2 linked regions of the Anolis sagrei genome follow. The protein of the gene in region 1 interacts with the protein of each later gene in a pairwise test. Links are inferred from orthologs where the notes say so. Each region holds a gene or a part of one and is shown on either strand. Other genes may lie near its edges.

The links. The genes of interacting proteins can lie anywhere in the genome.
Region 2: the proteins of TRIM37 (region 1) and FAM124B interact in a two-hybrid assay, tested with the Homo sapiens proteins (2 studies listed by BioGRID and IntAct). The link is inferred for Anolis sagrei from reciprocal best matches to the Homo sapiens genes TRIM37 and FAM124B.

Annotation. Positions count from the first base shown.
Region 1 is NC_090031.1:22,626,578-22,633,626, forward strand, and holds the start of TRIM37 (E3 ubiquitin-protein ligase TRIM37), read right to left. Parts: upstream 3,026-7,049; 5' UTR 2,781-3,025; coding exon 2,760-2,780; intron 1-2,759. UniProt on the Homo sapiens protein: E3 ubiquitin-protein ligase required to prevent centriole reduplication. Probably acts by ubiquitinating positive regulators of centriole reduplication.
Region 2 is NC_090023.1:234,189,224-234,196,949, forward strand, and holds the start of FAM124B (protein FAM124B), read right to left. Parts: upstream 3,010-7,726; 5' UTR 2,891-3,009; intron 1-2,890.

The DNA.
Region 1 (7,049 bases):
CATAAAAAACATATAAAAATCATAGAAGCTATAAAAACTATAAAAATTATAACAATATTAGTAATATTACATGTAAAATAAAATATATAATTATAAAATTGTATTATTATTATTAGTATTATATTGTATTACATTATATTATAAATATTATATGTATAAACAATACAATATATTATATTATTAGCATAGCACAATATCATTATATATATTACTATACTGTACTATACCATTATATTGTAATATTATTAGTAATATTACATGTGATATAACATATATAATTATAATATTGTATTATTATTAGTAATACATTATAATATTATAAATATTATATGTATATACAATATATTATAATACCATATTGTAATATTATTAGTAATAATATTAGTAATATAAAATATATATTAATATTGTATTACTATTAGATTCGTATTGCATTACATTATAATATTATAAATATTTTATGTATATATACTAGCTGTCCCCTGCCACGCGTTGCTGTGGCCCACATGGGGATTCTGTTTGGGAGGTTTGGCCCAATTCTATTGTTGGTGGGGTTCAGAATGATCTGTGATTGTGATTGTAGGTGAACTATAAATCCCAGCAACTACAACTCCCAAATGTCAAGATTCTATTTTCCCCCAAACTCCACCAGTGCTCAAATTTGGGCATATTGAGTATTCATGTAGAGTTTGGTCCAGATCCATCACTGTCTGAGTCCACAGTGCTCTCTGGATGTAGGTGAACTACAACTCCAAAACCAAAGGACACTGCCCACCAAACCCTTCCAGTATTTTCTGTTGGTCATGGGAGAACTGTGTGCCAAGTTTGGTTCAATTCCATCGCTGGTGGGGTTCAGAATGCTCTTTGATTGTAGGTGAACTATAAATCCTAGCAACTACAACTCCCAAAAGACAAAATCATTTTTGAGTGAAGAACATACATTGGGTTGTTAGGTGTCTTGTGTCCAAATTTGGTGTCAATTCGTCCAGTGGTTTTTGAGTTCTGTTAATCCCACAAACGAACATTACATTTTTATTTATATAGATAACATTGTATTCTTAGTATAGCACAGGAGACTACACAAACACATGATACATATACATACAATATATTATATCATTAGCATAGCAAAATACTATTATATATATTAATATATTGTACTATACCACTATAATTAGTAATATTACATGTTTTATATATATATATATATATATATATATATATATATATATATATATATTGTATTAGCAGTAGTCCTATATTGTATTAGTAAAGGTTTTCCTCTGACATGCAGTCCAGTCGTGTCCGACTCTGGGAGTTGGTGCTCATCTCCATTTCTAAGCCGAAGAGCTGCCGTTGTCTGTAGACGCCTCCAAGGTCAGGTGGCCGGCATGACTGCCTGGAGTTGCATTATCTTATCTTATATTATATTATATTATTAGTATATTAGTATTAGTATAGTATTATTAGTATTATTAGTATTAGTATAGCACAGGAGACTACACAAACACATGATATATACACATACAATATATTATATTATTAGAATAGCACAATATTATCATATATATTACTATATTGTACTATACCATTATAATTAGTAATATTACATGTAATATTATATATATATATATATATATATATAATATTGTATTAGCAGTAGTCGTATACTGTATTAGTAAAGGTTTTCCCCTGACATGCAGTCCAGTCGTGTCCGACTCTGGGGTGTGGTGCTCATCTCCATTTCTAAGCCGAAGAGCCGGCGTTGTCCGTAGACACCTCCAAGGTCAGGTGGCCTGCATGACTGCCTGGAGTTGCATTACCTTATATTATATTATATTATTAGTATATTAGTATTAGTATAGTATTAGTATAGTATTATTAGTATTAGTATAGCACAGGAGACTACACAAACACATGATATATATACATACAATATATTATATCATTAGAATAGCACAATATTATTATATATATTGCTATATTGTACTATACCATTATAATTAGCAATATTACATGTAATATGTGTGTGTGTGTGTGTGTGCGTTTGCGAATGATTCCTATGCGTGGAGGCCCAACGCTGAACGAGAAGCATATATATACTCAGTTCTTGTGGGTTTTTTCGGGCTATATGGCCATGTTCTAGAGGCATTTCTCCTGGAGAAATGTTCTAGAGGAGAAATGCCTCTAGAACATGGCCATATAGCCCGAAAAAACCCACAAGAACTGAGTGATTCCGGCCATGAAAGCCTTCGACAATACAGCATATATATATATTACTATATTGATAATTAGTAATATTACATGTTATATATATATATATATATATATATACATATACAGTATATATATATATAATATTGTATTAGCAGTAGTCATATACTGTATTAGTAAAGGTTTTCCCCTGACATGCAGCCCAGTCGTGTCTGACTCTGGGGTGTGGTGCTCATCTCCATTTCTAAGCCGAAGAGCTGGCGTTGTCCATAGACACCTCCAAGGTCAGGTGGCCGGCATGACTGCCTGGAGTTGCATTACCTTATATTATATTATTAGTATATTATTATTAGTATAGTATTAGTATAGTATTATTAGTATTAGTATAGCACAGGAGACTACACAAACACATGATATATATATATACAATATTTTATATTCTGAGTATAGCACAGGAGACTGTATAAAGGGTAATGTGCGTCTGTGAATGATTCCTATGTGTGGAGGGAGGCCCAACCGTGAATGAGAAGCAGGCCTTTGCTCACCTCCACGCTCTGCTCGTCCATGGCTGGCCGGCCTCCCTCTAGGCCCGCTCGGCCTCTCTCTCTCTTCTCTTCTCTTCCTCCTCCTCCTCCTCCTCCTCCTCCTCCGCCGCCGGCCTCTCTGAGGGAGGCAAACACACGCCTGGGTCAGCCCATGGAGTCTCCCGCGTTCACGGCCCCCCAGGCCCCCGCAGGCCCCCCGCCAAGCCGCCCCCCATCTCCCCTCAGAGGCGCTCCTCCGGGCCGGAGGGAGGGAGGAAGGAAAGAAAACAGACCCAGCCTGACACTCACTGCGCATGCGCTGCCGCCACTGCCTCCCCGCGCGCCGCCTCTGCTGCATTCGCCGGCCGCCAGGAAACCGCAGCACGCATGCGCGCTAGGGCAACCCGGGAAAGGACCGCACTGCGCATGCGGGGGAGCATATGATTGGAGAACCCAGGCAGGCTGGGCTAATCCCACCACTTGCTTGCTCCATCCATGTTCAACATCTACACAAATGACCAGCCACTGCCAGAAGGGACAGAGAGTTTCATCTATGCTGATGATCGTGCCATCACCACTCAAGCAGGGAGCTTTGAGATGGTTGAACAGAAGCTCTCCGAAGCTCTAGGTGCTCTTACTGCCTATTACAGGGAAAACCAGCTGATCCCTAATCCATCTAAAACACAGACATGTGCCTTTCATCTCAAGAACAGACAAGCATCCTGAGCTCTGTGGATTATTACCTGGGAAGGAATCCCACTGGAGCATTGCAGCACACCCAAATATCTGGGAGTCACTCTGGACCGTTCTCTGACCTACAAGAAGCTTACTTACTTACTTACTTAGGCGATCCCTCATTGGACGAGTAAGATGGTCTTCCATTATGGATTTCCTTGTGGGTCCGTATGTGGCTGTGGAGCCCTATTCTTGCTCTGTATCTTCTTCCGCAGTGAGGGCATTGGTTTCCAGGTGGAAGGCGGTCTCGGTCGGGGTTGGCTTGACGCGCCTTCCTCCTGGCACGTTTCTCTCTTTCACCCTCCACTCGTGCCTCCTCAAATTCTGCAGCACTGCTGGTCACAGCTGTCCTCCAGCTGGAGCGCTCAAGGGCCAGGGCTTCCTAGTTCTCAGTGTCTATGCCAGAGTTTTTAAGGTTGGCTTTGAGCCCATCTTTCAATCTCTTTTCCTGCCCACCAACATTCCGTTTTCCGTTCTTAAGTTCGGAGTAGAGCAACTGTTTTGGGAGACGGTGGTCAGGCATCCGGACAACGTGGCTGGCCCAGCGGAGTTGATGTTGCAACTACAAGAAGCACTGCCTGAACATCAAGCAAAATGTGGGTACTAGAAACAATATCATATGAAAGCTGATTGGCACAACCTGGGGATCACAACCAGACACAGTGAAGACATCTGCCCTTGCGCTATGCTACTCTGCTGCTGAGTATGCATGCCCAGTGTGGAACACATCTCACCACGCTAAAACAGTGGATGTGGCTCTGAATGAGACATGCTGCATTATCACGGGGTGTCTGCACCCTACACCACTGGAGAAATTACACTGTCTAGCAGGTATTGCACCACCTGACATCCGCCGGGAAGTAGCAGCCAATAGTGGAAGGACTAAGGCAGAGACATCTCCAGCTCATCCCCTGTTTGGGTATCAGCCATCACGCCAACGACTTAAATCTAGACAAAGTTTTCTAAGATCTACAGAGACACTCGCTGGAATGCCTCAGCAAGCAAGAGTCCAACAGTGGCAGGCCCAAATCCAGCACCTCAACCAATGGCTGTTACAAAATGAGAGACTCCCCCCTGGGCACACAGAAGACTGGGCGACTTGGAAGGCGCTGAACAGACTGCGCTCTGGCACCACGAGATGCAGAGCCAACCTTCAGAAATGGGGCCACAAAGTGGAATCCTCGACATGCGAGTGCGGAGAGGAGCAAACCACTGACCACCTGCTGCAATGCACCCTGAGCCCTGCCACATGCACCAGGGAGGACCTTCTTGCAGCAACATCAGAGGCACTCCAAGTAGACAGATATTGGTCAAAGGACAATTAATCAACTACCAAATTCACAAGTTGTGTATCTTTCTGTTTGTTTACTTTGTTCTGTTAGAAATGTAATATAATGGACTGGTTGCTCTGACACAACAATAAAATAAACCACTTGCTATGTTCAGACCATACAGAGAAATCCACAAGCATGCAGGCAATTTCAACAGAAAGGAGACAGCACCCTTTTATTATTATTTTTAAGTCTCTTCTGCTGTGTTTTCCAGTGTTTTTATAAGTGGTCACTTGTTGGCCTGAGAGGTGTCTTGTGTCTAAATTTAGTGTCAATTCGTCCAGTGGTTTTTGAGAATCTCACAAACTAACATTACTGGGTTGTTGTGGGGTTTTTTGGGCTATATGGCCATGGTCTACAGCAGTGCTTCTCAACCTGGGGTCCCCAGACGTTTTTGGCCTACAACTCCCAGAAATCCTAACAGCTGGTAAACTGGCTAGGATTTCTGGGAGTTGTAGGCCAGAAACACACACGAAAGGAAGCAGTAACCTGTAGATGCAGGACCCAATACCAACATGACAGGCAGCGACAAGTACCCAATGCACGGACGAAACCAACACCTTGCCTTCTGCAAAGATTCCCCATTTCAGAGCCTACTTTTATCTTACACATCATCATCAGAAGATGAGCTGACCTCCGCCCCATCATAATCTCTTACAGCTGTTCTTGACTCCACACGTGAATTCCTACTCCCATCCCTCCAACTTCTCCAACTTCTGTCAAGACTTAGATTCCCCCACACAAGACTCAAATGTATTCCCCGATTGCCAGTCCTCGTTACCAGAGAACCCTACAAATGTATCACTAGACGTTGGCTCTGCACATACAGTTTGTATCTCTTTTACCTTAGTCCAGTCCAACGTGTCATCCCCATCTTCATCGCTCCCTGACCCATCACTCCCAGAGAAACCTACAAATGATTCTTCATCTATGGGAGCAGTAAATATATCCTCTTCCTCTGTCGCTCCTCATCCGATTCTTGCTCTCAGGTAACCCTCTTTGTTCCCCTATTCCCATCCATTGTATCGTCTTCCTCTCCCTCACTCATTGACCCTTCATCCCCGGAAAACCCTTCGAATGAGTCTTCATCGGTAGGTGCCATAAGTATATCCCGGATCCTTTTCCTTTGTTGTTCCTCATCTGACTCCTGCTCACGAGTACCCCTTTCTCCCCTTCTAACACCCATACTACTGCTTGCAACAAATGTCAGCATGCTAGAAGAAGCAAGGACCACCAGCACTGAAGTGATGCTCCTCCGCTATCAACTCCGCTGGACCGACCACCGTCTCCCAAAGTAGTTGCTCTACTCCGAACTCAAGAACGGAAAACGGAATGTTGGTGGGCAGGAAAAGAGATTGAAAGATGGGCTCAAAGACAACCTTAAAAACTCTGGCATAGACACTGAGAACTGGGAAGCCCTGGCCCTTGAGCGCTCCAGTTGGAGGTCAGCTGTGACCAGCAGTGCTGTAGAATTTGAAGAGGCAGAATGGAGGGTGAAAGTGAGAAACGTGCCAAGAGGAAGGTGCGTCAAGCCAACCCCGACCAGGACTGCTTTCCACATGGAAACCGATGCCCTCACTGTGGGAGAACATGCAGGTCAAGAATAGGGCTTCACAGTCACCTACGGAACCACCGCAAGTACACCGATCTTGGAAGACAATCCTACTCGGACAATGAGGGATCACCTAAGTAAGTAAGTAAGGTTTCATTATTATTATTAGTAGTAGCTGTCCCCTGCCAGGCGTTGCTGTGGCCCAGTCTGGTGATCTGGAAAATCAAGTAATGAGAAAGTGTTGGTTTCTAATATATCTAATTTCTTTATGGTTGTGGGTAAACAGTATTTCTTGCTGTTTCTTTATCAATGTTGATGTGGAGATTGTCTGGTTTGCCTACTCTGTAACATGCAACATACAGGGTTAGTCAAAATGCATAGGCCAATAAGCCATTCAATTGAATGGCTTATTGGCCTATGCATTTTGACTAACCCTGTATAATTGTCCTTCTTTACGGAGCCCTTTAAAATCTATGATACTATAACTGTGTGTGTGTGAATCATATATATCTATCTATATCTATGGCTGGATGGCTCTTTGTCAGGAGGGTTTTGATTTGCCCTGGTGAAGGGAGTTGGACTGGATGGCCTTGAGTATTTTCTGTTGGTTATGGGGGTTCTGTGTGGGGAGTTTGCCTCAATTCTGTCATTGGTGGGGTTCAGAATGCTCTTTGATTGTAGGTGAACTATAAA
Region 2 (7,726 bases), on another chromosome or scaffold:
ATTACTGAAAACAGTCTCAAGTTACACATTTAGAATTGCGGCAAAATAAAATAATAATCGTCTTCTAAAATGCATTATGCAGGGGGCAGAACATTAAATTGGGACATCGGTGCTCAAATCTCCACTTAGCCATGGAAACCAACTGAGCGAATTTTGGGCAAGTTGCACTTTCTCACCCTTAGAAGATACCAAAGGCAAGAAAACCCTGCAATATGTTTGACATGAGTCTACTTGAAGGTATGTCAACACAAAAAGGATCACTGTGGTGTTGGGAGGTGAGCGGGGTGTGAACTGCACTGGTTGACACCAAAATGACTGGCTGTAAAATAATTATGCAGTTTTTCAAACAGAAATGTATTATTTGTATCCGAAATATCCCTGTAATTAGTTATACTTACAAAGACATTTTCCACATGCTTATATACACTGTATCGATATACATAAAGGGCTAAAACTGTATGCTTTTACTTTTTGAGCCTTCTAAGGCACACACACTCTGGCCAGAGATGCTATTAATCCCCAGGTACAATGATACTTAGAATCATGTGTTTCAGCCTGTAGGCACTGTAAGCATTCACTGCAGTTGTGCTGTTTCTAGTCGCCGGTTTTGTCAAATTCTTCTTTGTTCTGTGCCTTCAAGAAGTTTTCAACCAATGGCAGCCCTAGAGTGAACCTATCACAGGATTTTCTTGGTCATATTGGTTGGGGGGGGGGGGGTTGCTTTTCTCTGAGGCTTTTTTTCCCCTCATGTCACGAGCAACTTGAGAAACTGCAAGTCACTTCAGGTGTGAGAGAATTGGCCGTCTGCAAGGACATTGCCCAGGGGATGCCTGGATGTTTTACCATCCTGTGGGAGGCTTTTCTCATGTCCCTGAATATGAAGCTGGAGCTGACAGATGGGAGCTCACCCTGCTTCCTGGATTCAAAATACCATCTACTCCTCTTCGTTAGCCAGTGAGCAAAGGTACATCTTCAGATGTTTCTTGAGACAGGGAGGGAGGGGGCCATCTTTAACTCCTTAGGAAGGGAGTTCCAGAGGTGGGGGGTGGCCATGGAGAAGGCCTTTTCTCTCGTTCCAACCAGCCATGCTTGAGACAGGGGTGGGACCGAGAGCTGGGCCTCCTACGATGACCGCAGTGTCTGAATTGATCTATAGTGGGAGATGCAGTTCATCAAATAGTCTGGACTATCATAACAAAACAGAGGTTCAAACCTTGGTCTCTAGCTCAGAGAAAGGCGCCCCTTGTGTCAGCTGGACTGTATTTGGTCTCTAGAGGTTTACTTCAACCATAATGCCATGCTGGCTGTACCACCTGTATTAACTATGATGGGCTCTTGGTATCTGCTGGAGTTTGTTTCCAGTAGCCCTGGGGATCCTAAACTCTTGGAGGCTCAAGCACATTCAAGCAGTGGATAGTAGAATCTGTGGGTGCAGAATCCGTAAACATGGAGGACCAGCACTATGTTTTTACTTTTGATTCTTAGTCATCCAGAGCTGATAGTGTGAATGCTTATAAAGTTTGGGGGGGGGGGGTGGTCAAAGATGTGTAGCAAAACGATCGGACCCTTCTCATATTCCTTTTCCTAGTTTCTTCCTAAAAGCTCCCATTGACCCATCTAGAGCAGTTTCTCAACGTGGGGGGGGGGGGGTTGTGAGGGGGTGTCAGAGGAGTCACCAAAGACCATCAGAAAACAGTATTTTCTGTTGGTCATGCGAGTTATGTGAGGGAAGGTTGGCCCAATTCTATCAGTGGGATTCAGAATGCTCTTTGATTGTAAGTGAATTATAAATCCCAGCAACTACAACTCCCAAATATCAAGCTCTGTTTTCCCCAAACTCCACCAGTGTTTGCATTTGAGCATATTGAGTATTTGTGCCAAGTTTGGTCCAGATCCATCATTGAGTCTACAGTGCTCTCTGGATATAGGTAAACTACAACTCCAGACCTCAAGGTCAATGCCCTGCAAACCCTTCCAATATTTTATGTTCGTTATGGGAGTTCTGTGTGCCAAGTTTGGTTCAGAATGCTCTTTGATTGTAGGTGAACTATAAATCCCTACCACTACATATGTCATCAATTGGGGACCCCTTGTCCCAGCACTAACTGCTGCTCTGGGCCAGAGTGAAGAGAGAGGGGGGCAGACGACAGTTCCACCTTGTCTCCTGTGCTGTGCTAATAATATAATATAATATAATATAATATAATATAATATAATATAATAATATAATTATGTATTTTATATTACATGTAATACTAATAATATTACAATATAATGGTATAGTACAATATAGCAATATATATTACTGATATTGTACTATGCTAATAATATATCGTATGTATGTGTGTTTGTGTGTATATATGTGTGTGTGTGTGTGTGTGTGTGTGTGTGTATGTATATGTATGTATGTATGTATATGTGTATGTATGTATGTATGTGTGTGTGTATATATATATATATATATATATATATATATATATATCTTGTAAGCCGCTCTGAGTCCCCTTCGATTTATAACAGTAGCAAAATTAGTTATGAAGTAGCAACAAAAATCATGTTCTGGTTGGGGGTCACCACAACATGAGGAACTGTATTAAGGGGTCACAGCATTAGGAAAGTTGAGAAACACTGATCTAGAGCTTGGAGCAAAGTCCTTTCCCCCTTCTTCAAATCCTACAATCATCCCCCCAAAGAAGAAGAACTTCCCCCAAGTTTGGTGCCCATCCTGGTGTTTGGAAGTCGCCCCCAGCCTGGAAAGCAGCGAAGTGACGACTGTCGCAGCCGCCTAGAAACACGACAACAAACGCTCTGGCAACGGGATTGCCTCCCCCCACTCCTCCTCCTCCTCTTTTCCTTTCAGCCCCAAGTGGGCTCTTCATGCCCCACTTACCTGCCCAATCCAGCCTTCGCTTCCATGGCTCCTCTCAGCCAGAGACGAACCGCAGCATCCCCACCCGACGCAGCATCCAAGCCCAAGTGAAAGCCCCGCAGATTGTGTTCTCCTATCAAGGTTTCTTAAGCCCCGCCTCCCTCTCACGTCACCCCCTAAAGGCCCACCCCCTTAGGAGGCTAATCCAACCAATGATACCCGCAGCTCCGCATTAATTGGCAGGGCTGGATGAGGCTGCATCTGTCAATCCTAGGTAGAATTCATGCAGTTTGACTGCCATGGAGTTGTAGTTTTGGTGAGGTGCCAGCAGTTTTGACACCACTTTGCCATGGAGTTGTAGTTTTAGTGAGATACCAGCATAGTTTGGCACAGAAAGCTCTTGTAGGTAAAACTACAACTCCTTTGATGCCATAGCATTGGGCCATGGCAGTTCAAGTGATGCCAAACTACATTACTTCTATTATTATTTATTACTATTATTTCAAACATTTGTACCCCGCCCTTCTCACTCAGGGCAGCTTACATCTGGCACAATTCGATGCCATTACATATAAATAATACATACAAAATTACATATCAAACATAGTACATTAATTTTAAAATGAAAAGAACATTAATAAAAAGTGCAATGTGCAATAATACTGGCTGTATAGTCTTATGTAGAAACGAAATCAGCGAGCACAACACAATCGGAAGCTTGCTCATAGTCCATTTTCCATAACATTATCATTATTACCATTGTCAAATTATCTGCCATAAACACATTTTCAATTTCCTCCTGAAGGCAAGGAGGGATGCTGTTGACCTGATTTCACCGGGAAGCGAGATCCACAGGTGGGGGGCCACCACCAAGAAGGCCCTGTCCCTCATCCCCACCAAGCGTGTTTGCACCAAAGGAGGGGCCGAGAGCAGGGCCTCCCCAGAAGATCTTAAACTTTGAGGTGGGTTGTAGAGGGAGATACATTCGGACAGGTACGCTGGGCCGGAGTCATATAGGGCTTTCTACAGTGTAGATTAGACATGGGGCAAACTCTGTCCCTCCAGGTGTTTTGGACTTCAGCTCCCACAATTTCTGGCCTCAGACCCCTTCCTCCCCCCCCCCCTCAGCTTAAGCGTCTGAGGGGGGAAAGGAAGGGGTCTGAGGTCAGGAATTGTGGGAGTTGAAGTCCAAAAAAACACCTGGAGGGCCAGAGTTTTCCCATGCCTGGTAGATTCATCCTTCAGTGCTGGAGTGCATGTTCTATGAAAAGGGCCCAGGTTCAGTTGATCCTCCCATTCAGATAATCACAGAAGTGGTTTTTCATAAAAAGTCTATAGTTTTTAGGGGGTTTTTTTAATTATAGAAAGGAACTTTCTTCACTTCCAGTCTTCTTTGCCTTGTCTAGGAGGAAACTGCTTGATATTGTAACAATACTACCAGGCTGGAAAAGCTAGTCAAAGAATCATAGTATTGGAAGGGACCACAAGGACCATCTATTCCCTGCTAGGTAGGAATACACAATCTTTCGGGAATGCAGTCCTGAAAGATGACCATCCAACAACCTTGCGAGGAACCCCACTATAAAAGTAAAATTCTTCCCATTGATTGAATATACTATGCAATGTCGTTTCAACTTTTGTACTTCATGTTGTTTTAAATAATAATAATCATCATCATCATCATACATATGACAGATCCCAAATGTAGACTCTGCAAGGAAGCAGATGAAACAATACATCATATCCTGCAAGAAGATCGCAAGCAGACTACAAGCGGAGGCATAACACTGTTTCTCAGATGATTCATTGGAACTTGTGCCACAAATACCATCTGCCTGTGACAAAGAACTGGTGGGATCACAAGCCTGAAAAAATTACAGAAAATGAACACGTCAAACTACTCTGGGACTTCCGAATTCACAATAAGACACAATAAGACAGACTACAAGCAGAGGCATAACACTGTTTCTCAGATGATTCATTGGAACTTGTGCCACAAATACCATCTGCTTGCGACAAAGAACTGGTGGGATCACAAGACTGAAAATATTACAGAAAATGGACACGTCAAACTACTCTGGGACTTCCGAATTCAGACTGACAAGAGTTTTGGAACACAATACTCCTGACCTCATGATTGTGTTAAAAAACAAAGTATAGATCGCCGATGTTGCAATCCCAGGTGACAGTGCGATTAAAGAGAAATGACTGGAAAAGCTGACACAATATGATAATTTAAAGATAGAGCTGCAAAGACTCTGGCACAAGCCAGTAAAGGTGGTCCCAGTGGTGATTGGCACACTGGGTGCAGTACCTAAAGACCTTGGCCTGCACTTAAAACACAATCGGCGCTGACAAAATTACCATCTGCCAGCTGCAGAAGGCCACCTTACTGGGATCTGCACGCATTATTCACCGATACATCAAACAGTCCTAGACACTTGGGAAGTGTCCGACGTGTGATCCAATACAACAGCCAGCATAGTGATCTTGTCTGCTGTGGACTCATCTTGTGTTTCAAATAATAATAATACATTTTATTTATATTCCGCTTTATCTCTCTGGAGGAACTCAAGAGCGGATTATGATACACATATGAGGCAAACATTCAATGTCTTTTACACACAGTGAACAAAGACAGACAACACAAAGGTTAAGGCCTTCCCCTTTTTTCCATCTCTGACACCTGGAGGCAATGCTCAACTCTGGCCATGGGTGGTGCTCGTTCCATTTTTCCATGCCGAGGAATCTGTGTCTGTACACATATCTGATTGTGTTGCCAGCATGTCTGCATATCTGCATGGGGCGCCTGTTTACCTTTCTGCTGAGGCGGTACTTATTGCTCTAATTGCATTGCATGCTTTCGAACTTCTAGGTTGGCAGAAGCTAGGGCTGACAGTTGGAGCTCACCCGACTCATGCTTCAAACTACCAACCCCCTGGTCAGCATTTTCCTGCAGCTAGCAGTTTAACCCGCTGCACTACTGCACCCCCCCCCCCCCCATACTCATCTTTATGCTGGAAACCAGTTTGAATCCCATTTGGGATAAACGTAAATCAATCAATAATGGATGGGTGACATCTAGTGTGAAAGCCGTACATCTGAAAGAGATCTAGGGGTCTTGGGTAGACCATAAGCTGAACATGAGTCAACAGTGTGATGCAGCAGCCAAAAAAGTCACTGTGATTCTAGGGTGCATTAATTGTAGTGTTGAGATTGAGGGAAGTCAGTCTGCTATTCTGCTTTGGTTAGACCTCACCTGGAAGCTGGAACATGTCCAGAGCAGGGTGAACAAAAGGACCAAGGTTTGGAACCCAAGCACTAAGGGGAAGGCTTAGGGACCTGGGTATGTTGAGCCTGGTGATAGCCGAGAGGGGACATGATATCAATGGTGTAGTACAGGTACCAGACTGTATGGTTGTGTTCTAGCAGCAATTTCTTCAGAGATTCTCTGAAATTGTCAGCTATAGATGCAGGCGAAACATCAGGAGAAAATGCTACTAGAACATGGCCATACAGCCCAGAAGCCACACACCACCCGTGATTCTGGTTGAGATACCCTTCAACTTCCTGACCGAAAGGTTGGTGGTTTGAATCCGGAGAGCGGGGTGGGCTCCCACTGTTAGCGCCAGCTTCTCCCAACCTAGCAGTTCGAAAACATGCAAATGTGAGTAGATCAATAGGTACCGCTTCTGCAGGAAGGTAAAGGCACTCCATGAAGTCATGCTGGCCACATGACCTTGGAGGTGTTTACAGGCAACGCCAGCTCTTCAGCTTAGAAATTGAGATGAGCACCACCCCGCAGAGTTGCACACGACTACACTTAATGTGAGGGGAAACCTTTACCTTTTTCTACTGTATATTTCAGATTTGCCCTCTGGTAGGTATTTCCCCAGCCAGTAAATGATAAAGCAAGTATAAACTTGTTCAAGGAATATGTATTAGCTCAATTTTAGCAATTTCCCTGCATGTGCTGAAATAATTTTTAAAACTATTACCTAACATAACCTCTTCTGAAAGCATTGGTTTTTTGCTTACCTGCAGTAGTAAAACTGGACATAAGCAATAGGAACATGATAAAACATGTTCAGCAATGGTTAAGAAGGCCTTTAAAGGCAAGCACTAAGTGCAGGTTGTAAACGAAAAAGGCTATAATATACACGAGAAACTGCTGTATAAACTATATTCTGGCTCCCCTGCTTGATATTGAGTTGTATATGGATCAAATTGCAAGCACACATTATTGTGAATGACTTATTGATTCTTCTAAATGACTCAGGTCATCGTTTTTGGGAGGAAAAGAGTTGCATGCACACTTTATGCAGGATTTATGAGACCTGGGCATATTTATTTTTAAATCCATAGGCACACGGTAATAAATACAACTGCAAAACAGGTACTTGTGTTTGAAAATACACAATCAATATTTTGGATCCTGGAAGATCACTTCCTCGCCGCTCAGTTAGTATCTCATTATGGACTTCCTTCTTAAAAACAACATTCACATCACAGCTTTTGTCCTTCTGTTAATGTAGCCCTGGAGACGTTCCTCCAGATTATGAGGGACCCTCCAGAACAAGAGCAAATGTGGAAAACTGGTAGGATTCTCCCTCTTCCACTGGAGAGCCTCTACTGGATCTCTCAAAAATGGAATGAGTCTTTCAACTCATAAGGAATTATACACTATTTTAATTTTTGGCTATCTTAAGGATTTAATGCAAAATAAAGGCAGAGGGACACATGTTTCAAATTATTTTTGACCATTTTCATCAGGAAGGGAAAAGGCTAAGCCTCACAACTATATTTTAGTTATTACATTCATAATACAATATGTTTTATTGTGTTGACATTTGTGCC